2 linked regions of the Mytilus edulis genome follow. The protein of the gene in region 1 interacts with the protein of each later gene in a pairwise test. Links are inferred from orthologs where the notes say so. Each region holds a gene or a part of one and is shown in the gene's direction. Other genes may lie near its edges. The genes, in order: cyclin-dependent kinase 14-like and cyclin-Y-like protein 1.

Region 1 (15,743 bases):
ATTCTTAAACGATAGACAAGTTTAATTATATAATTTTCTTTTGTTAATATACTTATTTTTTTTTTATCAAAGGTTAAAATATAATAAGCTATATGTCATTTTCAAATTTGTTTTTGGAATGTTGGGGGACTCATTGCAAAGGGCTATGACAAAACTTGTGACCCCTTGTTCATTAAGTCAATAAACAAATATGAAATTGGTTTTTTTTTTGGCTGAGACCCATTTAGGATATAATTCCACATTAAAAATAATTGGGTCATTCCACTATCATCCTATCTGTAGACAAGTGACTAAGTATAATAATAGATTTTTTGGTGTCATTGCAATATTAAGAAAACCACATGTTAAAGATCATTTTAAAATATTGAAAATCACTAATGCTGATTATCAGTTGGTGAAATTAGATAAAAACTTTTTGGGTCTTCAAAAAGACCTGTTTATATGTGTGGTATATTTTCCACCTAGTTTATCCTCTTATACTAAGGGTCTTGATGTAAATATTTTGGATTGCATACAAAAAGATATTACAGATACATTTGGAGATGTCAATTTTCTTCCTTGTGGAGATTTTAATGCAAGAACAGGAACAAGCCCTGATATATATCATGCATGATGATAATAAATTCCTACCCTTGTTTAAATCATATCCTATAGACAAAATTATTACAGAAGCATACTTCAAATTATCAAAAGATTTATTGTCACTGAATCCTTCTGCTAAAACTAGTATGCATGTTTTTGATCATACAATTAAACCAATTCTATTATATGGTTGTGAGGTGTGGGGAATGTTTAATCCATTCACATCTAAATTTAGGAATGGCTTGTTAACCTTTCACCAAATTTATGATAAATGTCAAGCAGAAAGATTGCATTTAAAATTCTGTAAATATATTCTTGGTGTCCACTCAAAGGCAAAAAATATAGCTGCTTTATCTGAATTGGGCAGACTTCCTTTATATTTCAATATTGTAAAAGCTATGGTTAAATACTATAACAGGTTAATAACTCAGTTTATATCTCCACTACTAGATAGTGCTTTTCATGAATCAATATTTTATCTGATGCAAAAAAAACCTTCATGGTATGGTAGTTTCAATGTGATATTAAAAATTATTAAGTCTGCTGACCCAATGAACAACCAAAACATACTAAATGTAAATAGTAAGTTTATAAAGAATTGTTTTTTTTACAAGAATGGGAGCAGACATTACAAATACATGCTGGTAGTAAACTATGCTCTTATGTACTTTATAAAAATAATTTTGTCTGTGAAAAATATTTATCTGTAATCCGCAATGTTAATATTAGAAAAAATCTGACAAGGCTACATGCTTCAGCACACTCCCTAAAGATTGAAAAGGGAAGGTATCAGGGTATTTCTCGACACGATAGAACTTGTCCCAGATGCTCAAGTTCTGAAATTGAAGATGAGTTACATTTTCCCCTTAATTGTACCTCATTAAATAATGAGAGAAATAAATAAATAGTTTGTGCTAGGAAATGTTGTGCTAATTTTGATATGTTGACAATTAAAGTTTGACAATTGACAGTTTATTTGGTTAATGAGTAATGAGAACAAGGATATCTTGTATGAAATGTGTGATTTTATAAAACAAACAAAAAAATACTCATGATTCATACCATTGTTTGTATATTTTGTGTATTCTCTTTTTTCTCTTAGAGCATTGGGACAGGTTGTACTAGAGGCTGCAACCAAATCCAAATATTTCACACAGAAATTTTACAGAATTATATTACTATGTCCTTTAAGCACCTGCCCTTGGTGGCTCCTGCATATGGATAACTACATGTTAATCTTAAAAAAATATTTATAATGTGGTTCAGCAAAAAGGAGGACTATAATATAGTAATTCTTTTTAAGTATTAGTTTATGCTTGTGTTGTAAAATGTTTAAATTTTTCAGATTTCTGTGAAGCGGCTTGAGTGTCCTTTAAGCACCTCCCTTGTAGTCCTATAACATATGACCTCGGGGGCATTATTTACTATTTCTATTTACTGTTCTGATAATTTTTTTTACTATCAATGTGCCAAAAAAATAAAAAAATGAAAATATCAGTATAAAAACGTTAAACATTGAATAAGAATGCGAAGTCATATGTTATAGGACTATCTTTACCTAGTCCAAATAATTATGACGTCTTGAAAGGCTATTATAATTTTTTTCTTTGACGCCTTACGTCGATGTAAGGCGTCAAAGAAAAAAATTATAATAGCCTTTCAAGACGTCATAATTATTTGGACTAATCTTTACCCGGGTCATCCATTTATCGTCCTCTTCTAACATAAAGTTAGTACAGAAAACAAGGTACGTACTTGACTACTTCATAGATGAAACTGACTTTCCAATTTCTTGTGCAATGCACCTGCATCACATTGCACTCAATGTTTTCAACCACAAGTTAGAGTGAATTTCAAAAACCTTTACCCTCAAAGATATAAAATGCAAACCTGGTATTCGTCATCGCCATGCAAATAAAGAATACAATCTGCTGCAAGCACTACGGACCTTGGAATCATTAACAGTAAAAAAATGTGAGAGTTGTAAAGTGGTTATTTGTGTCATGTAGTCGTTGCCTCGAGATCGTTTACACTAAGACCTAAATGTACTTTAACATTGCATTCAACGCATTGTGACCAAAGGGAAATAACTCAAACGTCTTTGTCATCATAACATCTAAGTATTACTAAGTTACTTACAACAAAAACATGTAGGCATAATGGCTATAGATCGTATTTGTTTGGCGTTTTGGCTTGGAGGACTTACTAAAAAATAACTAGCATGTGACCAATAACATAAAGCATTATCACAGTTATTTTTAAGCACAGCACATAAAAGCTCATATATATATGAGAGTCTGGATGGGGTTTATAAAATTAACAAACATGTCCCCGAAATGAATAGAAAATTAACAAAAAAACATTAATAAAAAATAATTAATTATGTGTAATAGCATTAAGAATAACTTGAAAAATAAAATAACTAGGTAATATAATACCAATTACAGAAATGTACGATGTACGGGATAAAGCAATCATGTACCGTACAGGAAAAAAATGATAGAAAACTGATTATATTGACTTACAGTCAGCTATGTCACTATATAGTACTTCCATGATATGCACTCTATATCGCTATCGGACTTACTTAGCATGCACTCTATGTCACTATCATGCTTCCATGATATGCACTCTATATCGCTATCGGACTTACTTATGATGCACTCTATGTCACTATCATGCTTCCATGATATGCACTCTATATCGCTATCGGACTTACTTAGGATGCACTCTATGTCACTATCATGCTTCCATGATATGCACTCTATATCGCTATCGGACTTACTTAGGATGCACTCTATGTCACTATCATGCTTCCATGATATGCACTCTATATCGCTATCGGACTTACTTAGGATGCACTCTATGTCACTATCATGCTTCCATGATATGCACTCTATATCGCTATCGGACTTACTTAGGATGCACTCTATGTCACTATCATGCTTCCATGATATGCACTCTATATCGCTATCGGACTTACTTAGGATGCACTCTATGTCACTATCATGCTTGTCAGGTCAATAAAGATTGCTTATTTTGGCGTTAATATTGATTCACTTATTGGGTCTTTGCATCGGAACTAAACACATTTATTAAAAAAACAGTTGTTGGCATGACACGGGTTATGTTCTTCTCATATATGTTATGATGGTATGATACTAAACCCCTAACGGGAAGGATTGTGCCTGATATTCATATGATGAAATCATAATCTTTCAATCAGTTTAATTGAAGTCTGGAGCTGGCATGTCAGTTAACTGCTAGTAGTCTGTTGTTATTTATGTATTGTTGTCATTTTGTTTATTTTCTTTGGTTACATCTTCTGACATCAGACTCGGACTTCTCTTGAATTGAATTTTAAATGTGCGTATTGTTATGCATTTACTTTTCTACATTGGCTAGAGGTATAGGGGGAGGGTTGAGAGTTCATAAACATGTTTAACCCCGCCGCATTTTTGCGCCTGTCCCAAGTCAGGAGCCTCTGGCCTTTGTTAGTCTTGTATTTTTTTAATTTTAGTTTCTTGTGTACAATTCGGAAATTAGTATGGCGTTCATTATCACTGAACTAGTATATATTTGTTTAGGGGCCAGCTGAAGGACGCCTCCGGGTGCGGGAATGTCTCGCTACATTGAAGACCTGTTGATGATCTTCTGCTGTTGTTTTTTCTATGGTCGGGTTGTTGTCTCTTTGACACATTCCCCATTTCCATTCTCAATTTTATTCCATGTTGTGCAATATTGTTTTCCAGTGTATGGTGCGTACTCTGATTGTCCTTCCGTAATTAGTATTCTGTCATACATACTCTCATGGTGTGCCCCCTGTAAATATTGAGCAACCATGCCATAAGGTATACTTCTATGACCAAAAGTAAACTCTGTCGTTGATAGTGTAAATACAAAAATTTTTGCATGCATTTATTTTTGTGATTTTTTAAGAATAGACAGCAATGCGAGATTGATTGTTGCGATTTCAGGAAAATCTATTAGAATTCAGCTGAATTGCTACAACCACCATGTCGCATATTTAAAACCATGCAATGAAATCTTAATTTTGAGAGCAACTCTGTCAGTATTGTACTTCAATGGTGTGTACTCTGTCACGAAAGAGAGACCAAAAATATCAAAGGGATACACAAACTCATTAGTCGAATATGAACTAAATATGCCATAGCAAGGGGGAGGACAGGGGGGTACCCTTCTCCCTTCTCCCACCCCTTTTCTCCTTTCTCCTACCCCCGTTCTCCTTTCTCCCATTAGAATAAAACGTCTCCTTTTGAGATATTTTTTCTTGAAATATTAGAAAATTTTTTAAAAGGAGAGATATTTTATTTTTCTCCTTTCTCCAACTTTTTCTCCTTTCTCCCAGCCTTCCTCTCCTTTCTCCTACCCCCTTTCTCCTTTCTCCCACCCCCTTTCTCCTTTCTCCTACCCCGTTTCTCCCTGTCCTCCCCCTCATAGCAAGAAACGAAAAAAACGACCACAAAACAAATAGTAGTATACAAAACATAATATAGAAAAATAAGACTTAGCAGATGAGGACCCCCTCCGAAATCCCTTTAAAAAAACTAATCAAAAATATCAGATGATCCGGAGGAGTAAGAAAATCCAGCCCCAATCGTTTCACCTGCGGTTTTGCTCATGCAAGCACAAACACGATGATTTAATTTAGTATAATTTCTGTAAATTTCGCTCTTTTAATTCAGTGGCGATAATTTGTACTAAATGCAATGGCGGATCCAGGGAGTTCCGAGGGATGAACCCTCTTTTTTGACGACCAATGCATTTGAATTTGACATATGATTGGACCCCCCCCCCCCTTTTGAAATGGCTGCATCCGCCCCTGAAATGCGATTTAAATAATGTGGAAAATGAACACTTACCTTGAGAAAAAGATGACACTGTAAGCAATATTTATTATCATACTTCACATAAAAATGCCGTATTTTGATTGTCTAATACGCTGGTGTTAATTTACTCTGTCACCTGGCTGAGCGGGTGACAATTTTAAGTAGAATGTCACTCTCTCGTCCATTCCAATTAAAATCTATAATTTATAAAGGGAAATGAATTGAATTTACATTAAGTTATGAAAGACCATTCTTAAGTTCTACGTTTTGGCTCAGCTGCGGATTTTACAATTTGAATGTCAGTTGAAATGGAAAAAAACAAAAAACATCTTGCTTAACTTCTGTTGATTTTTTTTAATACCAGTAACGTTGTTGCCGGTGTTACTCACAGGCACTCGTCTCAGAAAAAAAAAATAAAGGTGTATAGGGGCTGCATGAGACGAGTGCCTGTGGTGTTACTCTATATTTAATTCACCTTGCATCTGAGACTACTATAACACAGTGTTATAGTAGTCTCAGCTTGCATGTATAAATTCAAGACAAAAAGCTAAATAAAAAAACCACACACACACACACACAAAACAAACTTTTCCCACTACATTTATTATTTTAATTATTTTTCTCTAAAAAATTGTTCACAATAAATTCCTGCGTTTTATATCGGCAGACTATTCATTTTCATTCTGTCTAATGTGGGAAAAATCATGTATTTGCAACTCTTACCAGTCAAGGTCGGAAGATTCATTTAAAAAATCACAATATACTTACAATTACCTTTAGGGAGCAACCATTTGCTGCGAATGGTCACGGCCTGTCTTTTTTTTTTTTTTTATTAATTTATCCTTACTTTTTTTTTTACATTGATTGTCATCCTTCATGTTTTGCCAAGTTGCTCATCATGCCTGCCCTATTGTTATACTCAAAACTGTCCAGTCCTATCTTTCATCAAATATTTCATTCTACCCCGGCCCCCCTAAATTAAACAATTTGTAGCTGCCTTATACGTGTTCATTTTATATATTTGCATCTTTTTAGCTCACCTGGCCCAAAGGGCCAAGTGAGCTTTTCCCATCACTTGGCGTCCGTCGTCCGCCGTCGTCATCGTCGTCGTCCGTCGTCCGTCGTCGTCCGTCGTCGTTAACTTTTGCAAAAATCTTTTCCTCTGAAACTACTGTGCCAAATTAAACCAAACTTGGCCACAATCATCATTGGGGTATCTAGTTTAAAAAATGTGTGGCGTGACCCGGCCAACCAACCAAGATGGCCGCCATGGCTAAAAATAGAACATAGGGGTAAAATGCAGTTTTTGGCTTATAACTCAAAAACCAAAGCATTAAGAGAAAATCTGACAGGGTTTAATTGTTTATAAGGTCAAGATCTATCTGCCCTGATGTTTTCACATGGATTGGACAACCCATTGTTAGGTTACTGTCCTGAATTGGTAATTTTAAGGAAATTTTGCCGTTTTTTGTTATTATCTTGAATATTATTATAGATAGAGATAAACTGTATACAGCAATATAAACGTTCAGCAAAATAAGATCTACAAATAAGTTTCATGACCAAAATAGTCAATTGACCCCTTAAGGAGTTATTGCCCTTTATAGTTAATTTTTAACATTTTTGATAAATTTTTGTAAATTTTTAGAAAATATTTTCCACTGTAATTACTGGGCCAAGTTCATTAGAGATAGAGATAATTGTAGCAACAAGAATGTTCAATAAAGTAAGATCTACAAACACATCACTATCACCAAAACACAATTATGTCATGAATTTATCCGTGTCCATTGTTTAATATGCACAAGACCAAGGTGAGCGTCACAGGCTCTTTAGAGCCTCTAGTTTCTCTCTCATTACCGTATTTAACAGTATGTTGGGCTTAAAAAGTCAGTTAACTATGATTATTCAGTGACACACAGCAAACTGAACTCCAAAGTGCTGAACTCACTAGTTTATTTACAAAAAATTAGGGGGGCAAAAATACGTCAGTAGATACATAGCAATAATTTCTCGAAACACTGTACAATTCTTATTCTGTCTATTTCATCGGAATATAACGGTATGTTAAGTGATCGTAAGCGAGTGGTCTGATTGATTGCAAGCAATATTTCATAACTATAATTGTAGTTAAATTTCCCGCGGTTTTAACTAGACTAGAAGAGTTCCGAATGAAATGTATTGACAGAAAATCGAAAATCAGAAAAAGGTCGCCAAACAACAATGGAACATTTTCTTACAATGAAATGAATTATAATGAAATTTAATCATTCAAAAGTGAATTCACACGGAGAATATGGCGACCGAAGTCCGCTGTAATGGTGAAAAACCGAAATCAAGAGACGGTAAGGTTTTTTTCAAGATGTTTTTGTGTAACCGGATGACTCATGTCGCATAAAAAAGGGGTTCTTCGTTGACAAAAGAATGACTGTTCTTGACACACTTATTGACATCTTGTAAAATGAATGTTCATATAATAATAACATTTTGCATTTTGTAATAGACGCCTGTAATATTTTATTTGTTTATTAGCGAAGAAATTTCATATATATGTTTCAGTTTCAGTTCAGCCGAACAGCTGAACAGTGCAGGCCTGTAGCATACCTGCCAACTTTTCAAAATGCTCATGGGGGTTTTGCGTGCAAGATGGCTAATGTAGTCCTACAAAACCTTCAAGGGGACCTTTATGTATATTTTAATGTTGTTTTTAGGCTTCTTCATACTGTTACAAACCTTTAGCCACTATAAAACTAATTGTTTTGTTTAAATTTGTGGACAAAATTGCTCTTTCAAAATTTCCATTTAGGAGCCTCCATGGGGGAAATCCCCCGCAAATAGTGACACTTGGCAGGTATGCTGTAGGTTGTCCAACCTTTCAGACAAGTGCACATGTAGTGTCATCATCATTCATATGACAACCTTAAGTTTAGACTATCCTGGCCTGAAACTAAAAGATCCTAATTCCAAAATTTTTACTGCTGTCAAATATATTCTTGTGTTTTTGGCTTTTGTTAATTTGGTGTGTTTGCCCTTTAGGCTCTATTTATGTTAGAAGATGGTCCCTTTCCCAACCTCTCAAGTAATTTAATAAAAGTACATTTGTACATGTTTTTTTGAACATTTCCTAGCAGTCACTCTCAAAGATCAAGTCATCATGTGTTTCAAAGGACCACAGAGTTGCATTATTTATTGGGGCTCTCATTTGGGGGGGGTTCTGATCCCGGATCCCGCTTACTGTTTTGTCAGATTCCCGTTTCCCGCTTACACTATGTACGTAAGCAATTCTCATTTTTTTGTCATTTCCCGGGTCCCGTTAGACCTCATTTCCCAATTTCAAGACATAATAATTTGACTTTCACGTGTCACACTTAAAAGAAATCGGCAATCCTGCGTCACGCTTAGACCTCATTTCCCGTTTTCAAGACACAATAATTTGACTTTCACGTGTCACACTTACAAGAAATCGGCAATCCTGCGTCACGCTTAGACCCCAATGAGACTCACTTTATCAGCATTGGTAAATTGGCCTAAATTTAATTGTTTCTGGGGGACTATTTTCCATATTTGGGGACCACCTCAGACTTTTTCTACACTGCTTGGTCAAATTATTTGAAAAAAAACCCCTGCTTTCTTGTGCTGTAACATAATATTATATTAATATCTTAAATTTAAAAATGTAAAAAAATAGTGCCATTAAATCATACATTGTACATGTAGGTTGGCAACCAATTTTCAATACTAATATAAAATGAGAAGTGAGGGGGGGGATAGGGTCGGAGGGGGTCTGATCCTGAAATCTAGGGCTTCAAAACATGAGATCCTGAGGTTCCAACTTTAAAGAAATTTAAATTCCGACATTCCAGAAATTGAAAAAAGAATTTCTAGATCCTGAAAGGATTAATCCCTAAATCCCAAGTTTAAAAACACCTGATCCTGGCGTCCCGAAAAAGGTTCTGCCCCCCTTTAAAATGAGGCTTTAATGTTATTTGCCACCAATTGAATTGAACCAATTACTACATCATGTCACAGAAAAAGAATGTTAAATGGTCTATTATAGTGTCATACAATATCTGCCCTTTGATACAATACATGAACATGATTTGATATTTTTTATCATTGTGAAATTTTCAACTAAAAAGGCTCACAATTTAGTAAAATATCTTTCATTTCCATTTACATTATTCAATGTGAGGGGAGATAATCACTTAATGAATTGCAAAATATCAATATCTTTTCTTTGAACTCAATCTATCCTACATGTTTATGGTTACAGGTACGTGTAGATACATGTATATAAATTGTACAAGTAAATAAATTGTAATTTTTAACAATATTAGTTATTACAGTAATAACTTTGAGAACCATCAGGGGCGGATCCAGCCATTTTAAAAATGGGGGGTTCCCAACCCAGGATAAAGGGGGGGTGGGGGTCCAGCTATATGTCCCCTTTAAAATGCATTGATCGGCCAAAAAAAGGGAGGGTTCATTCTCAATTTTATTATGATTCTCCTTTGGACAGCCCCAATATATAATTAAATTTGTATATCTGATGGGATACATATCAGCTAATTACTTTTAATTATTTAATATACAATGTATATATTATAAGATTGATTTTACAAGCACCTAAGCCAATATAATCATCCTCACTGTTGTGTTTACATATAAAATAAACCAACTTATTATGTTTATTTCCTTTGAAAAGATATTGATCTTGTAGTATTTATTTACATAAGAGAGGGTTTGTAAATACTTAAGATGTGGTAATAATACTGTGTACATGTGAAGAGAAAACAGGTGCATGTTAAATGCTTGAAGTCAACTTAATTCCAAAATTTGAAAAGGTATTACATTTAACATGTTTAAATATATATATATATAAAGAGGGAATTTGAAATATTTTTAATCATAAACATGCAAGAGTTCATCTCTCTGTCCAGTTTTTGAACCTGGTCAGGTAAATTTGTTCTTTGCTTTTGAAAAGTTGCTGATAAAAGAGAACAAACATGATTTTCTCGCTGCATTGTAGATACTTTGGCTGTTCTCTTCTCTTTGGTCAGGTTGTTGTCTCTTTCACACATTCCCCATTTCCATTCTCAATTTTATACTTATTTTTGTAGTAGGGTCTAAGGCATGAAAAATTAAAATAAATAAGGCCACACATTAAAAAATATTTCTTAGATGTTTCCTACCATGATGCCTCGTACAGTTTAGTATATAGAGAGGGATTTTTTTCTTGGCCAAAATTGGACTTTAGACGAGACATAAAAAGTAAAATCACAAAAATACCGAACTCTAAGGAAAATTCAAATTGAAAAGTCCCTAATTATCAAATGGCAAAATTAAAAGCTCAAACACATCAAACCAATGGATAACAACTGTCATATTACATTTTGTATTACAGACTTTGTACTGGGATTTTATTATGTAGAAAATGAGAATGAAACCTGGTTTTATAGCTAGCTAAACATCTCACTAATGTGTGACAGTCGCATCAAATTAAATGGATCTAACTAGACAAGTAGGTTTTTTTTTGAGTTTTTCCCTTATTAAGATGACTTTACCAGAAGATTACAGTCGGTAATTTTAAGTGAGATAAAATTGAGAATGGAAATGGGGAATATGTCAAAAAGACATCAACCCGACCAAAGAGCAGACAACAGCAGAAGGCCACCAATGAGTCTTCAATGCAGCAAGAAAATTCTGCACCCAGATGTCCTTCAGCTGGCCCCTAAATAAAAATGTGTACTATTACTATAGTTCAGTGATGATGGATGTCATACTAAACTCCAAAATATATATAAAAGAAACTAAAATTAAAAATTTGTACAAGACTATCAAAGGCGGCAGGTTAAACAAGTTTTTTGAGATCTCAACCCTCCCCCTATACCTCTAGCCAATGTAGAAAAAAACAAATGCGCAACAATATGCACAGTAAAACTCAGTTTGAAAGTTTAAGACCATACTTTACAATAGTTAAAGCAAGCTAGGATCAATTAGAGGATATTTGATGTTTTAATTCAGTGAGTTATCATGGTTATATGAATGATTTAATTCTGGTCTGTATCTCAGATCATCTTCTATATTGCTTCCTTAAATCAATAAAAATGTTTCAAAGATGATTTATTACACTGATTCTAGTACATTATATATATATATATGTTTTAATTAGTATAAAACTTGATGGGTATATATTGTAAACATCGCAGATCAAAGATTTGGAAATGAAACAGAATTGGGTAATGATGAAACAGGGATGATTGTTTACATATTTGAGTGTGGGAAGAAAAATTTATTGTTGATTGACAATTCATTTTTGTCTTTTCCTATGCATGTTTAATTTTGTTTCCTGCATATTGAGTTGCAGAATACTCATTTTCATTGTGTCTTTTGTACAGTTATTTATTTAGATCTTACCAGTCCAGTATATTTATTTTCAATATCCAAATCCCCACCCCCTCAAAAAATAATATACAAGAAAACAATAAAACCAAGTTCCATCCTCAAACAGCTGGGACGGTTAAAAAAAGTTCTGATTGTCTCATAAACCAGGATCTTTCTTTCACATTTATACATTCATATACCATGAATGTGAAGCCACGTACATGTAGCTGAAGAGGGCAATATTAACATGAGTAAAAATCCATTACGCAAATAAAAAAAGGACTTCTCATGGAAGAAGAGAAAAAAGACAAGAGACAACCATCCATTAAACAATTGAGCAGACCAAAAACAAGGAGTATAATAAATTCCAATGCTCTAGAAGGAGCACATGTTGTGCAGTAAATGTATTGTACTCCACTTATTGGTGGTGACAGTTTAAATCAGGTGAAAACACATCACCACAATAGTTCCAGCTTGAATTTCAGGGCAGAAGGGTGCTGGTTTGTTTTTGAGAGCAGAAGGGTGCTGGTTTGCTTTTGAGGGCAGAAGGGTGCTGGTTTGCTTTTGAGGGCAGAAGGGTGCTGGTTTGCTTTTGAGGGAAGGGTGCTGGTTTGCTTTTGAGGGCAGAAGGGTGCTGGTTTGCTTTTGAGGGCAGAAGGGTGCTGGTTTGCTTTTGAGGGCAGAAGGGTGCTGGTTTGCTTTTGAGGGAAGGGTGCTGGTTTGCTTTTTAGGGCAGAAGGGTGCTGGTTTGCTTTTGAGGGCAGAAGGGTGCTGGTTTGCTTTTGAGGGCAGAAGGGTGCTGGTTTGATTTTGAGGACAGAAGGGTGCTGGTTTGCTTTTGAGGGCATGCAGAAGGGTGCTGGTTTGCTTTTGAGGGCAGAAGGGTGCTGGTTTGATTTTGAGGACAGAAGGGTGCTGGTTTGCTTTTGAGGGCATGCAGAAGGGTGCTGGTTTGCTTTTGAGGGCAGAAGGGTGCTGGTTTGCTTTTGAGGGCAGAAGGGTGCTGGTTTGCTTTTGAGGGCAGAAGGGTGCTGGTTTGCTTTTGAGGGCAGAAGTGTGCTGGTTTGCTTTTGAGGGAAGAAGGGTGCTGGTTTGCTTTTGAGGGTAGAAGGGTGCTGGTTTGCTTTTGAGGGCATGCAGAAGGGTGCTGGTTTGCTTTTAAGGGCAGAAGGGTAAGGGGCATTAGGGCACCTAGAGTGGGTCCTTCTATTGTTGGCAGACAGGAACACTGCATATTTAGTAATTTAATTCTTTAATATCACCAAATTACATCTAATTTGAATAAAATCATAATTAGATAGCCAAGTCGAACAAAATGAGCAATTATTGGTACATTACAATTTAGTAATCTAAAAGTTTGAATTGAAAACAAAGTGAAAAACACAACAAATTACTTTGCCACCAATTATTGAATGAAATGAAGAAATTTACGATTCACAAACAAACAACAAATCATTTTGAAATGAAAACAGACTCATAACTAAATGATTGCATTGGCTTCTATAATCTTTGCTGTGTTGATTGTAATAAGTGTTTTTTTAAGGAGAACTTGTCAGTTCAACTTCACAGGATTAGATAAAAGATGCTTCACTTATCTGAAACAGTAAATCAGAAATATTTATTAAATGGCCTATTAAAACAGATTGATGGCTTTTGTGTTTTTCTCTCCGTTTCAAGCTTGGAATTTTGAAGCTAAATGGATATATATTTAGAAATTAAGAAAAGTTAACTTTTAGATTTGAGTTTTGATTTTAATGCTTTTAAGCTGTTGGTATATGAGCACCTGCTTAATTAACATTCATTATTACAAAATCCTGGGCTTTGATTAGGGAGCTACCATTTGATTTTTAGGGTGCCAAGATTAAATTTGAAAAGGCAGTACAGGAGTTTTGAGTACATATATATACAGGTGAAAACACAATCACAAACGTGCAGTGGCGGATCCAGAACTTTTTCTAAGGGGGGCCCGCTGACTGACCTAAGGGGGGGCCCGCTCCAGTCATGCTTCAATGATTCCCTATATAATCAACCAAATTTTTCCCACGAAAGGGGGGGGGGGCCCGGGCCCCCCAGGGCCCCCCTGAATCCGCCTATGACGTGTGCATCAGACTATTTGTCAGTGTTTTATCTCAGAGGTACAACCTGGATAATTCTTGTTTGAGATCTTAATACAATTTGAATAATTATATTGTTTACTGATTTTCTTGCTGCATTGAAGCTCCTCTTTTCTGCATGCTCTTTGATCTGGTTGTTTTCTCTTTGACACATTCTAGTTTCCATTCTCTTTTCTAAGTTCTTATATCCATGATTTCATCTTGAGTTTAACTGTATACTATGTACATGTATACTCTCACATTGACAACAGGCGCGGATCCAGAGGGGGGTTCCGGGGGTTGGAACCCCCCCTCTTTTTTGGCCAATCAATGCATTTGAATGGGAGCATATAGCTGGAACCCCCCCTTTACTCTGGGTTGGGAACCCCCCCTTTTTAAAATGGCTGGATCCGCCCCTGGACAATTTGTATGATATAATTTAAACATTTCATACATAGGCTAAATTATAATATTGATTCAAGTCACTCTCTTTGACTCATTCTTACGTTTCAATTCTCTAATCTATGTTCAAATATCATCTTGAAATTGACTGTATGACTCTTGCATTGATGATTAAAGCATTATGTTCTATGATATAAACATTTTATACATAGGCAATTAAAATTGATTTCTTTCGCTGATTTCAGTGTAGGTTGTAGACTAGTTAAATGATTTACATGTAGATTACAAAATTAGATTATTGATCTTTTATAATTAGTTTGTAACAGGATATAGTAGTCTATATAGTACATACATATACATGTAGGTAAAGAAAATTAGTGCATTTTGATTGTGGTTAAAACATGTACATGTTTATTTTTAGCATGTACATGTATGGTGTATACATGTATATGCATATATTGTATATGTTTTCTAACATATTGTATATATATATATAAATATATATAAGAAGTTGATATTTTATTTTATTCCAACAGGAAATGGCATTAAATTAAACATAATTGAAAATTAAAACATGATTATTCAATTAAATTGTGTTAAATATGTTATAATATATTTCTTTAAAGCTCTTGAATGTATATTTTCACAGCTTAAAAGATATTAGAATTGTCACAATGCAAGAGGGTATAGATGGGGTTACCTTCATTTTTGTACTTTTAATTTTAAATGGCCATTTTTTTTTCTCTATTCTTTAATTGTTTTGCTTTAATTTTCTGTATTCCTCCCTCCCCCCCCCCTTATGAAAAGTTCTGGATCTGCCACTGTAATTGATTCTTTAGATTTTATGTTTTTAAGCTTTATTCTGCACTCTGTGTTTCTATTCTGTAAACCTTAACCAGACCCTCATGCATTATAGTATACCCCTGTCTGCAGTGGCGGATCCAGAAATTTTCATAAGTGGGGCCCACTGGCTGCCTTAGAGGGGGCCCGATCTTGTCACGCTTCAGTGATTCCCTATATAAGCAACCAAATTTTTTTCTCGAAAGGGGATCCCCGGTCCACCTGCCCCCCCCCCTAAATCCGCCTCTGGTATGGGTGTTCCTTACTCTGTTTCAAAATGTCAAGTGTTTAAAAAGACTGTTATAAATTGATAGTATGTGAATAAAAGGAATTAAAATTGCAGAAAAAAATCAGGGGTTCGTGTGCTTGTTTTGGAGATACAATGAAGCCATATTGCAAAATTGTTGGGAAATGATTCTCTCTAGATTTTTCATATATACATGTATAACATTTTGCCACCTTTTTCCTTTCAAAAACATTGAAAAAATAACCAGGAAAAGTAGGGGTTAGCGGGCAGAATTATCAAAGGCATTATATGGATAAAATCAGAGGATTCCGAAAAATCTGGAATACATTCAAAAACAAGAGAATT
Region 2 (16,654 bases), about 1.9 Mb from region 1:
AGAAATTCAATAATTAATGAAAAAATATCAACTACTTCCTGTAGGTCGTGACGTTTTCTCCTGATTTTTGCATGCCGGGATTTAAAATACAATCATTAAAAGTCTTGGTTTTTAATCATATTTTAACGTAATCGTAAGCGCGCCGATGACTTATGCTTTATCTAATAACCATCCGATAATAAGAAGATAAAACGCACAGACGTTCAATTGTACTCATTCGTGAGATAAATTATCTATGTTAAACCAGAGACATATTATATGTCTCTGGTTAAACGTATATATTCGAATTATTTTTGTAGACAACACAAAAAGTTATAAATTTATTTTTAATAAATGCATTTTCGGACTGATAAGGTGAACAAATTAAAGTAAAATAATCTGTAAAGACAATATGTTGGTGTACTATTATTGACCTTTTACTATCTCTGCTATGACTAGGTTTATACGATGTGTGTATTCACGGTTCTGTGGCAATACTAGTAGATGGCTTGTTGAAAGGTAAATTGTTATTTGCACTTCGGTATTTAACCACGCCTCTAGGGCACACCTTGCCAGGTGTGACTGTCTATTCGGAACAGTGGGAGCATTTAATACACACATTAAAAATACATATTCAAGTTGGTGACAAATAAAAATTGGTCGCCGTGGAATTATTTAATGGGTCTCTAAAAACACCGCAAAGGACCTCCTTTGTGCACAAAGGAGCACAAAGGAGCACTAAGGACCCTAAAAAAGTTTGATAAAAGCACAAAGGACCTGAAATTCCCTTTAAAGCATGAAAATATTCTGATTCCTGAAGAAAAATGTAAAAAAAATAAAATAATTTCAATAAAAATTGCGATTTTTATAATGTACGATTGGATGTTATCACCGATATCGGATTGGAACCGACTTTATATCCGGGAAAGTGATAGCTTATGTATGTAAAATTTTATATAGTTGTAATATGATATAAATGATAAAAACGTCAATTATTATTCTTAATATTTTGTTGTTGTAATATATTTTAAGATAACAGACTTTACCAAAACTACGAAAATTATGAGCAAACCCATCTTGCTATACAGCTGTGAGATATGGGGTGCCTTTAATCCTATGTCGTCTAAATATAGAAATGGAATTTTTTCATTTGACCATATTTATTCTAAATTACCTGCTGAAAAACTTCATACTAAATTCTGTAAATTTATTCTTGGAGCTCCAAAAAAAAGCACCAATTTTGCAGTATTAACTGAGTTGGGAAGACTACCAATATATTTTAACATGATTAAAGCAATGACTAAATACTATTACAGATTAGAAAAGTCAGACACTAACTTTTCATTGTTATATAATGCATTTATAGAATCAAAGAAATTGTATGAGTCAAAGAAACCATCATGGTATATGTCATCTGAAAAACTTCTTTCACTGATTAATAATTATCAAATATCCTCAGACATGGCTAAACCAATTGACAACAGAAAACTAAGAATTGCCATGTTAAAAGATTGGGAAAAGAATCTCAAAACTCACTCAGAAGGAAAACTTTGCACATATGTTACGTTTAAAGCAAATTTTGGTTGTGAAAAATATCTTGATATTGTTAAAAAATTTGAAGATAGACGGAGTCTAACAAGATTTCGCATATCTGCTCACCATTTACTTATAGAGAGAGGTAGATATAGTAATACTCCCCGACACAATAGAATATGTAAGAGATGTTGTAGTAATGAGGTCTTTTTAACTGTGATAGTTTATCAGATCAAAGGAAAGATATGATAACAATGATAAATAATTGCTGCAAGAATTTTCAATATCTTGACCCTAAACAAAAACTGATATGGTTAATGAATAATGAAGATGAGAATTTATTATCAGAATTATGCATGTTCATTAAGAAATATGAAAAGTTTTAATGGGATTTATTTCCCTCTACTACTTGTAATTTGAACTTTATATTTTCTCCATAGTGAGTTCTAGAGCACCGTCCCTTGATGAATATTGTCCAGTAGCAATGTTAACCCTTGCTATTGTGCATTAGTCATGAGGAGAATCACTATTGGAGTAATCTCATGTATCTGTAGCTAGTTCTGAAGGATCCCCCCTTGATGACCTTTGCATTGTTGTGATGAAGTCCCTCACTACTGTGCACTGGTCATGAGGAGAACTACTGCAGATTGAGATACTATATTCCCGGTTCTATTTTTACTATTTTTTAGTTTCCGTATTTTAAAATAAACTTAATATCATATCCTTTTAATATTAAATCGGCCTCATTGCACTCAATGTCTCTTACTATAATTATATCCTACATTGCTCATATTATCAATTTATTATTTGTGTATTACTTATTGTGTATTTCACTAATGTTTATATAATCATTGTATTATGATGTTTTTGTATCTTGCCTGACAAGGGCCCATGATTGGAAAATAAAATAATGTCTAATGTCTAATGTCTAATGTAAGGATACCGATGTTTTGCTTTCATATTTCATCATCAGCTAGCTTTCTTATGTATGGTAATATGTCAGTATTGCTATGACGAAAACGTTTCTAAAGGCACAAAGGGAATACTATGGCAATAATTATAAAGGTAGGTAATTAGTTTAAATTTGTCAATCCGTATTTCATAAACTTCAAAATACACTATGTTTTTATAGTGTTTTTAACTGGCTGTTTATGTATTGGCACTGGTATAGATTCAAGGTTTGCTGTATTGGCCTCCAGACCCGTAGGTATATTATTATTGTGCATATGTCTATAGTTTTCTTTTGTTTTTTTAAATATATTTATAATTTAAAATTTAAAAATACATATTTGATTATTTTCTGAATGTAATTGTTTTTAAAGACAGTCTTTTAACGCTAATAATTAACTGTAAAGAATTTATAACGTTTTTTCATCCCAAGTGCTATCAAGTCTTTATGAAACAATCCTTATTAACTGATTAATGCTCGAGTCGAAATCTTGACCAACAATAAAATTGAGAAAGGAAATGGTGAATATGTCAAAGCGACAACCACCCGACCATAGAGCAAACAACAGCCGAAGGTAACCAATGGGTCTTCAATGTAGCGAGAATTCCCGCACCCGTAGGTGTCCTTCAGCTGGCCCCTAAAATATGCATAATAGTGCAGTGATAATGGACGTCATACTAAACTCCGAATTATACACAAGAAACTAAAATTTAAAATCATACAAGACTAACAAAGGCCAGAGGCTCCTGACTTGGGACAGGCGCAAAATTGCGGCGGGGTTAAACATGTTTATGAGATCTCAATGTTTGCTTTATTTTTGTTCGGTTTATTACCCAGTCTGTATTTATATCATATGTTTGTGTTTTCTCAATATTTTCTAATTCATGAATGTATTACTAAGTAAAATCTTATAGAAAAGGGTCGTAATATTATGCATATCCGTACCCATTACAGAACACATGACTGTGCAGTTCGTATATCTTCAACTTTAATGCCAATTCAACTTAATACATATTTTTTTTCTTAAAAAATATTACAACAAAATATTAAAAATAATAAATGACGTTTTTATCATTAATATCATATTAAAACTATTTAAAAATTCACATACATGAGCTATCATATAGCCCGGATATAAAGTCGGTTCCAAACCGATACCGGTGATTATACCAAATCGTACATCATAAAAATCAATCTCCCATGCAGAGTTGTCGGTCCTTGCTCTCTCTGCATGGGAGATTGCATAAAAATCGCAATTTTTATTGAAACTATTTTAATTTTTTTACATTTTTCTTCAGGAATTATAATATTTTAATGCTTTAAAGGGAAATTAAGGTCCTTTGTGCTCTTATTAAACTTCTTTGAGGTCCTTAGTGCTCCTTTGTGCTCCTTTGTGCACAAAGGAAGTCCTTTGCGGTGTTTTTAGAGACCGTTATTTAATTATATTTGGTGCTATTATTTATTTGAATTCAAATAAGTTAATTTACTAAGAAATACACAATTTTCGGTTAAAGACGGGAAACTTAATTCATATGTCAGAATGAAATGATATACAAGTCTTGTCCTTGATTTATGTCTCATAAAAAAGGGGGACTTAGAAATTAGAAATAGCTTCACTAAATCATTTTTATTTGTCTTTATTAGGCGAAAAAATGTACGACAACACTTACATTTAGACTTTTGAAAGCCATGTATTAATTAATATATGAAACTATCTGAAGATAACTCTACCGAAGCGGAATATATAATATGTACGAATAAAGAAAAAATACTTTTGTATTGGAATGGAATCGAAAAATTACGAATAGATATTCTTTTCAAGTGTGAAAAACGTCAACCAAATTTATTCATAATCGGGAACGTCCTTATTAAAATCTGAGACTACTATAATAATCGTCGTCTCCCAACGTATATATATACTTAAATAACTATTTGACCAACGATGTTTAAAATTAAAAGACAACGAATTTAATGTTATCTTTCCCTATTTTTGAATGTTTTTATAAGTCTGTTCAACTTGCAAGAATACCCCTAAAGCGAACAAATATCCGACAAGCAGTTTATTCTTTAAATTGCTGTCATTGAATACCAAGAAAGAAAATAAATCCCGAAATTGATACTCAATAGTTTTCCTAGAAAATATTCACATCCCTTGGGGATTATTAGTGTACGTCCAGTTGCATATATTTTACATGAATGTTGGAACAATTGTGATGATGACGAATTTCGTTCTTATTCGAGAACAATCTGATTGATATATAAATCTGTGAGTTTACTATGTTCTTAACTTCGATGAACCAAAGCAAGTTATAAATTGACCTGTATTTAAATCAAATTGTTTCTTTTTTTTTCTTCTTCTTCTTTTGGTATACAATAGTCTATCGAATTCGTTGATTACATACTGTTGTCATACGTGGACTAGTCTATTTACAAAACTTTTACCACAATTTACACAAAATGTATGTTTCTTTCTTATGTTCAATGTATACATGTATACATATTTTAAATTGCGCTACTGACTATAGTTCCGTAACTTTCTACCCAGGCGTATGTATACACGAATCGTCGACAAGTGCGCACATTTTTTTAAATCAATAATTCTGGTATGTTCCAATCTGTCCTAAACTATTGACAACGAGTATATATTACATTTTCCCAAATTAACCCTTGGAAAAATATGTAAATAGATTTGTATTTCTTCAATTTTTTTTTTGTATTATTTTTTTTTTGTAAATAATATTCTTTACACCAGAAATGTTATTTATAAACAAGCGTATGAGTTCAGTAATGACTAGTATATTATATCACTTTCGGACACGCAAGACAAAAATGTATATTATACATGCACCTGATAGTTCAAAATGGAAAGTTATAAGTAACGGTCGTGTACACTGATCAATACCTACAGAAGTGAAACGATGCATGAACTTGCAAGCCCGCCGGACAGGAAATCGATTGAATACCTGGACGTGTCACCTTACACCCCTTCCAATACCTTTGGGAGTAATACCTTTAGCCATGCTGGTGATCAGATGAGGGAAGATCCGAATTTATTTAAATAAAGTTTATTACTTGAAAGAATTATGATCGAATTAGATTTTCGAAAACAATTTCCACGGAACACTTATTTATGATTTGAACTTTGACTTTTTAACTAATTACAATATTATCAGTTTAAAATTAACAGACTATATGGTTATTTAAAAATAAGACCATTTTCCGTATCAAGTTAGTCAGTCAGATAAAACAACCGTACGATTGACAAGATATCGACACGCAATTACGACTACATCGTTTACTGTAGTTTTGTTCCTTTGTGGTTTATAGACATATCGGGATTTTTCATCGGAGAAGGTGACAAGATGGCGGAGAGCAGAGAACTGATACTCAAAATTTAAAATCGATGGTGATCTCTTATTTAGCGGAATAAAACTTTAATATCTATAAATTTGAGCATTTTTATACAGAATGGACATAATATCAATTTTTGATTTTTTTGCGAAGTTTCCCTTTAATACATAGTTAATTATTATACATTAACTATAATAAAATTTATACATAGATTACTCACTAACATCTAAAACGTCACTTCAGATGCGACCAAGCGAAGGAGTAAATAAATACCTTTGTACGGTACCAAAGGACCACCAACGTCTAAAAAGGGAAAATAAATAATAGGGAAAGCAAATAGTTATCAAAAGTACCAGGATTATAATTTAGTACGCCAGACGCGCGTTTCGTCTACATAAGACTCATCAGTAAAATATTTATAAAGCCAAACAAGTACAAAGTTGAAGAGCATTGAGGATCCAAAATTCCAAAAAGTTGTGCCAAATACCGCTAAGGCAATCTATGCCTGGGATAAGAAAATCCTTAGTTTTACGAATAATTCAAAGTTTTGTAAACAGGAAATTTATAAAAATGACCACATTATTAATATTCATGTCAACACCGAAGTGTTGACTACTGGGCTGGTGATACCCTCGGGGACGAAACGTCCACCAGCAGTAGCATCGACCCAGTGGTGTAAATAATTATCAAAATACCAGGATTATAATTTAGTACGCCAGTGGCGCGTTTCGTCTACATAAGACTCATCCCTTTAGTCGAAATTTTGGGTGAAGAGCTTCTATTGTAATAATGAAATATCTAAATCTACCATTGGCGGACCCAGGGGAAACCCTCTTTTTCTTGTCCAATCAATGAATTTGAATGGGGACATATAGTTGGAACCCCCCCTTTTTTGTCCTGGGTTGGGAACCCCCCTTTTTAAAATGGCTGGATCCGTCCCTGTCTAGGAAAGGACAGTTATAATTGTTGTTGATATTAAAAATTGTTTAATTAAAAGTATTATGTGACTAAGTTCCTTCGGGTAAATGTCAGCTGATAAATATTTTTTTTATATATCAAGATATCTTATGTATTTTATAAGATGTCTCATATATTTTATAAGATGTCTCATATATCTTATAAGATGTCTCATATCTCTTATAAGATGTCTCATATATTTTCTAAGATATCTTACCCGTATTTTTTGCGCCTATCTCAAGTCTGGAACCTTTGCCCATTGTTATGTGCTTTTTTTAGTCAGGTACATGTATAAAGAATAGAGAAATGGTTCCAGAATACAGAGAGGAAGCCTGATTAATTAGATTAAGTTAAAAATTCCCTTGGGTTTTATATTGATCAGTTTGAGAATTATATACATTTGTATAATTATTAATTGATTTTGCTGATTACAGTGTCTGATGAAATCACCGGTCGCTTTCCAGAAAAAAATCCACCTTGAGGCATATATTCCCATTAGAATCATATTCAAAACAGTGTAGCTGTGGCCATTGATTGACAACCTTAAATTATCCCATTGACTGGGGCAGATTAGGTGAACGTGTGTCTGTAACGACAACTGCTCACTACTTGCTTATTATAGAATTTAAACTGTGGGGTCACCAAAGGTTCTTAACGCCTTTAATATTAAAATAGTTCGAAAAATTAATCAGGAATAACTTTATGTTTTGATTTATATTATTGATATAAATCAAAACATCGAGTTATTCCTGATTAGTTTTTCTAATTTCTTTATTTAGGTGTTGAGAACCTTTTGTGACCCCACAGTTTAAGTACCTTTAACAAGTACATAGTGAGCAGCGGTTGTTACAGACAAACGTTCACATAATCTGCCCCAGTCAATGGGATAATTTAAGGTTGCCAATCAATGGCCACAGCTACACTGTTTTGAATATGATTCTATATTGAAAAACGTTGTCATCTTGATAGCAATCTACTAATTTATAAACATGGCTCCGTTCAATATCGTAGCAGCTACGCAGTGCTACGTAGATTTTGATTATTGAACGTGTAGCTATAGACTAGTTGTTACAAAGATATTGAACTCAACCCTGTTGTTAATAAATTATGTAATGGAAATCGAATGTCTATATGAGGTTACGTTCAATATAGAAGCTACATAGATCTAAATATGCCTGGAGCTACATAAATATTTGACTACTGAACGTGTAGCTAGCCTAGAATAGTGATCACGTTCAGTAGAAAAAAAATCGAGGTGTCCTATATATGTAGCTGCTACGATATTGAACGTAACCCATACAGTTACACACGCAGGTACACGTAATTTAAGATTGTGAGAAATTTTTATAATTTTTTTTTTTAAATAAATCAAAATGCCAAATAGGCTTGTAATTTTGTATTTATGACGCGAGTTGCGTTTACATAAGATTCATCAGTGGTGTTCAAATAAAACAGATTAAAATGCCAAATTAAGGACGAAGTTGTACAAAGCATCGAGGACCGAAAGTCCCGTAGGTATGCCAAATCCAGGGTTGCATTTAACATCCTAGCAGCTAAATAATTCTACGTAGTGCTCCGTAGATTTATGACTATTGAACTAGTAGCTAGCCTAGCTGCTATCAAAATTTATGTAGCAGCTAGGCAAACTACACGTTCAATAGTCAAAAATCTGCGTAGCCCTATGTAGCCGCTACGATATTGTACGCAACCAAGCTGACTAAAGTTAACATATCTATATAGTGGGTCGAATATGAGGGTCTGAATTGGGTTTACATGAGTAAAAGTGCTGTACAAAGGGCAAACACTGTAAAGAATAGAGAGAAAATTAGTCCCAAAATATAGAATAGAGCATAATGGAGTGCTCAATTATAAGAATTGAATTTTAAAAAATAAGAATAGAGAAAATCTGTCTCCGGAAAGATTTAAAAATAAAGAAAATCTGTCTTAAAGATTTCAGAATAGAGAAAATCTATTACATAAAAATAACATAACGGTACCAATTTTCCTGCACCAGATGCGCATTTCGACAATACATGTCTCTTCAGTGATGCTCGTGGCCAAAATATTTGAAATATAAAGCTTATATAAAAGATGAAGAGCTATAATCCAAAAGGTCCACAAAATATAGCCAAATCCGTGAAAGGAATCAGTGCTTTGCTTGAGGGAGATACATTCCTTAATTTATAATAATTTCTATCATTTTGTAACAGCACATTTTATAATAACACAAAACAATGATCTAAAAGATTTTAAGAATAGAGAAAATCTGTCTAAAAGATTTAAGAGTAGAGAAAATCTGTCTAAAAGATTTATGAATAAATAAAATTTGGATAAAAGTTTTTTTTCTGTCTATGAAGAAATAACATAAAAAATTTGGTGCACACTGAATAACGCGCGTAGCGAGTTATTTAACAGTGTGCACCACATTTTTTATGTTATTTCGAATAGACAGAAAAAATATTACAGTCATTTCTTATAATTTAATTCTAAATTCCATTTTAAACCGTAGAAAACCATGAAAAAAACGTTGATGACGTCACGGTTACATGATATTATGTCTATGGGCTGATAACAAAATAACTTCAGCCAATCAAAAAACGTGTTACATCCAAAATTAAATTATTTAAGAATAGAGAAAATCTGTGTAAAAGGTATAAGAATATAGAAAATCTGTCTACAATATTTAAGAATATAGAAAATCAGTCTAAAAGGTATAAGAATAGAGAAAATCTTTCTAAAATATTTCAGAATAGAAAAAATCTGTCTCAAATAAATTAAGAATAGAGAAAATCTGTCCAAAAGATTAAAGAATAGAGAAAATCTGCCTAAAAGGTTTTAGAGTAGAGAAAATCTTTTGTGGATAGTTGTCTCATTGGCAGTCATACCACATCTTCTTTTTTTTAAAAGAATAGAGAAAATCTGTCTAAAATATTTACGAATAGAAAAAAATCTGTCTTAAAGATTTTAAGAATAGAGAAAATTTGTCCAAAAGATTTAAGAATAGAGAAAATGTGGGTAAAAGGTTTAAAAAAAGAGCAAATCTGTCTACATTATTATAATGCCGTATCTGTATATATATATATGTATTTGTACTTTGATTGGTACATGTATAATCATGTTAAGGCTTTTATACACGGTGGGGAAGTGAGCCGTTGTTATGGGCGGTGTTCTTGTTAGTTGAAGGTCGGTCTTAAATGCCTCTACAGAGCCTACAGAACCTGCATGCACAATTTTATCTGGTAGTTCAGTATCAGTAAACAAAATTGCTAGATTATTAAAACTGAAGTCGTTGAAAAAATTTGTTTCATGAATATTTGGATGAAGAAATTAGTTCAAATTCTTTTTGATGGAAAATTTTATAAATAGTATGAAGCAATAAGGAAAATTACTGAAAAGCGAAAGAATTTTGTTTAAACTAAAACTCATTCGAATTTTCCAGCTAAAATACTTTCGTTAATTTTGTCCAATCAAAACGCATTATAAATTAACTGCATTACAGTTGTCTGGACCACTTCCGACATTTCCGTCGTTGTGATGTTGAACAAATGAAGGATACTAATAATTTATCTGAGCTAAATTGGGTTCAAATAGCATAAACACTGTACCTATAACCACACAAATTCAATAGGTCAACATTATTTTCCCAAAAAGTAAACTGCTTTTTAATTCATATTGATGATTCACACAGAATACCAACCCGGCACGAGCATCTTTTTGGGTGCGCTGGTTTAGAAAAATCAGCTGATACCAAAGAACTGACAATATATTGTTAACCATGATACATGGTCGCCATGAAGTAACTTTTAAAGTATAGTAAATAACAGTATAGATGGGGAATAAGCAATCGTGCTGTTCATTTGGAGGGTCCAAGCCTAGACGACCTGAGGATGCATACAGGACTTCAACCACACCTCAGTCTGCTAATCACAGACAAGATGATGTACGTGTGACGTTAACACACAATAACCTGAGTACACCTTCTTTGTCAGCGGTACCACACATTAGTGACAGGGAAATCTTACCTGAAGGTATTGAACATATGTCACACCCTATAATTAGTTTTTAAAACCTGACACCTTTACTTGAAAATATCCAGCTCTGTTCGTCCAAAACAATATTCACTCCCTTAGTGCACCATTTTTTAAATCTTACTACTCGTGTACCTGCTATCATAAAAAAGGAAAATGTTGAATGTTAATTAAACAGACAAATCATACATGTAAACAAATACAATGATATAAAGGAAATCAATCAAAAGCAGGGATCTCCATGGATGAAAATTGAACCATGGAGGAACTTTCACCATTACAAACCTTGTCTACGCTGTACAGTGTAGCGCGATCGGAAGTATTTTATCCCTCCATACAAGGAATGGTGAACATGCTAATTCATTGCTTATTTAAATTATATTTATTTGAATTTTCATTATAGAATTAGAAGTATCAATATTTTCATTTATTGCCGTTTTTAACCATTCAAATGCCAAGTCTTCATGGTCCCCCCTTAGTCGAGAATGACCAAAAGCTGTCATGAAGGTCCCCATGCAGATTTCTTTTATTTTTGGTAATTGTTATGGGGGTTAAAAATCATCTGATGTGGAGCTTATTTTTCGTGGACACTGTCAAATTCAGAGCCCATTACCGGTATGGCTGATTTGCAGCAACAACAAATCAATTCGTACGGGTTATGTAAAAGGTTAAAGAGATTTGTAAAGCAAACGTTGACAAATGAAAAGGTTTTTAATGACTTTATCTGGAAAAATTGATGCTGTGCAACATGCATCTTTCGAGTCTGAATAGAAACCGGAAACGCGGATGTATCAATTTGATTGTAATATACGAAATGAATTCGGAATTTAGATACGATATTTCTTTACAGGAAATATTTAAGTTTTCACTTTTAAACTTTTAAAGTAATTCTAAATTATCGTTACAGCAGTACTCGAGTTATTTGCGATGAAATAATATTTACTGTTTTGCGTCTTATTTTGTACTTCTTAAAAAAGGGGGATGCTGATTGCGTAATTCAAAATAAAGCACGTGTTCGACTTGTTAAACTGTTTTCTTTGTAACTGGATTAATTTATTAATTTATTTATTTAATCTAAATGATCATAATCATTTGCTGAAACTTAGTTGATTACTTCGACAAATGGATCGTCTATCCTCAGATAGTATTCTCCTGTCTGGTTTGTTGATCTACCTGTACAAGCTCAGGTACAAGTAATTAGCGATCTTAATCCGGATATCCCTCAGGCGTTAGAACTGTATTGGATTATAACATAAAAAGCCTAAGGGTTATGCAATTACATGCATTTGATTATAATTGATAAAAAAATGGCGTCGGGCTACAAAAAACGATGAAGTTTTGAACGATGGCGGAAGACAATTTAACGATGGCGCAAGACAATTTAACGATGGCGCGAGTCATTTGACGATGGCGCAAGACATTTGAACGATGGCCGGGCTCCATCGTTAAACAGGCCATGGAGATCCCTGCAAAAGATAAGAAACCAGTATTAATGCAGAATGAGTTTTTCATCACTGAGGCTACAACCAAAAGGGGATTTTAACCCTATTGCTGCCAGTTGTTTTTCAAGGTTGCATTTTATGTGCCAGAAAATGTGACAACTCTATGTCTGAAAGTTAACGTTAGATGTCCAACAATGTCATCAGGGCTATTCCAGTAAAATTTACCTAGGAGGGGCGGAACGCCGACGATATTTTTTTCCATAGGTGGGGGGTTATCAACATAATTGTATTCTGGAGGGTGGTGGTCCCGATTTAAATTCATTTCTGTTGGTGGGGGGTTTCTGAATGATAGGTTAAACATATTGTTCCCCCTGTTATGAAGGAAGATTCTCCTGAAAAGGTCATCCGACTGCAAATAAAGTTGGCAGACCACTAATTTTAAGCGTCCGTTTGTGTTCTTGTCAAACCAGTGATCGGGAAGGACGTGCCTCCTGCGCCTATAGCGCATATTGACAAGAAATGGCGCATACAGTGACAAATGTAAGCGCCCACGTGGCGCACGATACTTTTCACTTCGTTTCGAAACGTTTAGATATCGTCAAATGAATTTCCGATCGTGTTCCATGCCGCCATGTGTGTGTACACAACTGTGTAATGTTCCTCCAATAATAGGAGCACCTATATATTTTTGGGAAGTCTCGGATGTTTACCTATGATAATAGAACCATGCGACTTCACGTCTCGGGTGTTTTCCTATTGTAATAATAAAACCATGCGGTCTAACTGATAACCCGAAAAACGTAATTAACCATCATTCATGATATATATTTTTTTTATAAACAACTTTAAATTTGTTAAATTTGGCTAGTACAGACGAGATTTAGCCCTTATAATAATCTCATTTAGTTTAGCTTGCTATTATTTCGATTGAAGAACCCCAAAGACTTTTTAGGAATATAGTTTTTGTCTCCATAAAAGACGCTTAACTGTCCTTGTCATTTTTAGCTCACCTGGCCCGAAGGGCCAAGTGAGCTTTTCTCATCACTTGGCGTCCGGCGTCCGGCGTCGTCCGTCGTCGTCCTGCGTTAACTTTTACAAAAATCTTCTCCTCTGAAACTACTAGGCCAAATTTAACCAAACTTGGCCACAATCATCATTGGGGTATCTAGTTTAAAAATTGTGTCCGGTGACCCCGCCAACTAACCAAGATGGCCGCCATGGCTATAAATAGAACATAGGGGTAAAATGCAGTTTTTGGCTTATAACTCAAAAACCAAAGCATTTAGGGCAAATCTGACAAAGGGTAATATTGTTAATCAGGTTAAGATCTATCTGCTCTGAAATTTTCAGATGAATCTGACATTCCGTTGTTAGGTTGCTGCCCCTGAATTGGTAATTTTAAGGAAATTTTGTTGTTTTTGGTTATTATCTTGAATATTATTTTAGATAGAGATAAACTGTAAAAAGCAATAATGTTCAGCAAAGAAAGATCTACAAATAAGTCAACATGACCAAAATGATCAGTTGACCACTTTAGGAGTTATTGCCCTTTATAGTCAATTTTTAACCATTTTTCGTAAATCTTAGTAATCTTTTAGAAAAATCTTCTCCTCTGAAACTGCTGGACCAAATTATTTGAAACTTGGCCACAATCATCATTGGGGTATCTAGTTTAAAAATTGTGTCCGGTGACCCCGCCAACTAACCAAGATGACCGCCATGGCTATAAATAGAACATAGGGGTAAAATGCAGTTTTTGGCTTATAACTCAAAAACCAAAGCATTTAGAGCTAATCTGACATTGGATAAAATTGTTAATCAGGCGAAGATCTATCTGCCCTGAAATTTTCAGATGAATTGGACAACCTGTTTTTGGGTTGCGGCCCCTGAATTGTTAATTTTAAGGAAATTTTGCTGTTTTTGGTTATTATATTGAATATTATTATAGATATAGGTAAACTATAAACAGCAATAATTTTCAGCAAAGTAAGATCTACAAATAAGTCAACATGAACGAAATGGTCAATTGACCCCTGTAGGAGTTATTGAACTTTGTAGTCAATTTTCAATCTGCTTCCTTTGTTTAATATTCACATAGACCATTGTAGACCAAGGTGAGCGACACAGGCTCTTTAGAGCCTCTAGTTTGGTCTTTGGCTCATTTTGACATTTTGTAAACATGACTTCTTCAGCGATTTGTTGTTTTGTTCTATGAATTAATGGTACTCTATACTGTTATTCTTGTCACCGTGATGAAGATATAATGATACAAGAAGTGCAGAGGAATTGCCTGAAATGTCCTCTGATACGGAACGTCTGGAATAAGTATGGTATCGACGAAGACCCAAATTTAATGTAAAAAAAAACCAACATGAACATGAACAAGGCAACAGTACCAGTTTAAACATTGTAAATAAAGGTTAACTTAAATATTGTTGCGGTTGGAAGAAGTTATTGTATATTCATTGAAATTGAAATGGCAGAATTTGCTGTACTTAAATCTCTTTCCTTGCAAAGAATATGTCCTTAATAAGGTGGACTGGCCAATTCTTTGCAATTTTTGGCCCAAATAATATTTTATTGCATACAGTTTATAACAACTTCAAGTACCCTCTCCCTTGTATACCGTCTCCCCACAAAAAATTATGTGTGGGTGACATCCAAACTATGCGGTCCATAAAAAAATATTTATATTTGGCACAGACAATTAGATTTTTATTGCGCATGTTGCGTGGGTGGTATTGAAGGAAAAAAATGGCCTAATTTTTGCGGAAAAATATGGCCTTGTTACACAGGAGAGTATATCATCTTCCTCAACATTTGCCTATTGAAAAAAAAAATGTATATAAGAAATACAAAAAATAAAAAAAGAATTACATTGTGCCTACCAAAAATATTTTATGGCTCAAACTAAACTCTGAAACATCAAATGGTTGGTGCCAACCAGTTTCCCCACCTGATGAATATGTCGTACCTGAAAATGTTATTGACAGTTTTAAAAATAAAATGGGCCATAATTAAAATCGCACCCCCTTTTTCGGTCACTGTGAGCTATTGCCGTCATGTTGCATCTGTCGTCTGCTGCTCCATAACATTGTTACATGTTTCATTTTATATTTTAATAGCAACATAGCTAGTATAAAAAAGAAGATGTGATATGATTGCCATTGAGACCAGAGGCGGATTTAGGGGGGGCCAGGGGCCCCCCCCTTTTTGGATGCACTGAAATAGATAAACCAACAAATTTTACATTTATTTGACAGGATGCAACATTTTTGTATACTTTAAAAAACTAGCTAACTTTTATTTTTTTTCTCTAGGTAGGGGGTCTTGGAAGAAAATACATGTTCTAGGTGGGGGTGTATTTTTTTAATCTTTTCCATAGGTGGGGGGTAAAAAAATAAGTGGCGTTCCACCCCCCCTGGATAATTTTTACTGGAATAGCCCTCATTCGATGTATGATGACTGTAACATTCTGGACACATTGAATAAAAACATAACATTGTTATTGATTTTTTATTTGAAAAAGATACAGCAAAAAAGCTTATAAATTAAAACTGACATATGTCCCTCCCGCACTGTGTGAGTCAGTGTGGAGTTTGTACACACATGTGTCCATCTGGCATCAAGAGGGTTAAAGGTTTTTTTCAACATTAATTTTCATATGAATTTTGCATACATGTAACATTTAAGGCAGATTTTACAGCATTGTGTTCTGTCTCCTACTTTCATGTTGCTAACGTGATGGATACAAAAATGAAGGTGTACTTTATATCAAATGAATACACAAGAAAACAAAAATGAGTAACGTTAGCGACATTTGGACATGTCACATTAGCAACAACATCTTTAAAAGTTAAAATGTATGCACACAGTGATGTTTAATATATGCCTCGAGTAATAAAGTTGTACAATCTGGTTTAAAATTCCTAAATATACAGAATGTCATTTGCAGGTGTACTTTATATCAAATGAATACACAAGAAACCAATTCGTAATATTAGTAACATTAGCAACATCTACTATCATGACATTACTTGATTCAACGTTTAATTGCGAACGTCTTTTTGATGGACAGAATACATTTAAGGTCCTCTTGTAACGATATTACATACAACTTACCTTCTTTATGTTCTTTGCTTCCCCATCATGTGAAGGAACTGACTCCGAATCAAAATCTGCAAAAAGCGATATTGTAACTACTATACAGGAGAGTTACAGATCTAAATATATATTGCTCACGTGACACTGATTTGGATGGAAACGTCGAGCAGTAACGTTTGCAAAAAAATAAAACAGCCAATGATATTGATTCCTTAAGTCCTTTGACCCCCTAACGTCATCCAAATTTAATATGATTGCTATTTTCAACTATAATAAAACCCGGGATAAAAACAACTACAATGGGCTGTCTG

What was found.
Region 2: the proteins of cyclin-dependent kinase 14-like (region 1) and cyclin-Y-like protein 1 interact in a two-hybrid assay, tested with the Drosophila melanogaster proteins (2 studies listed by BioGRID). The link is inferred for Mytilus edulis from reciprocal best matches to the Drosophila melanogaster genes Eip63E and CycY.

What each region holds. Positions count from the first base shown.
Region 1 is NC_092357.1:68,241,778-68,257,520, reverse strand, and holds the start of cyclin-dependent kinase 14-like, read left to right. Parts: upstream 1-7,616; 5' UTR 7,617-7,728; coding exon 7,729-7,777; intron 7,778-15,743.
Region 2 is NC_092357.1:70,154,459-70,171,112, reverse strand, and holds the start of cyclin-Y-like protein 1, read left to right. Parts: upstream 1-10,270; 5' UTR 10,271-10,598; coding exon 10,599-10,797; intron 10,798-16,654.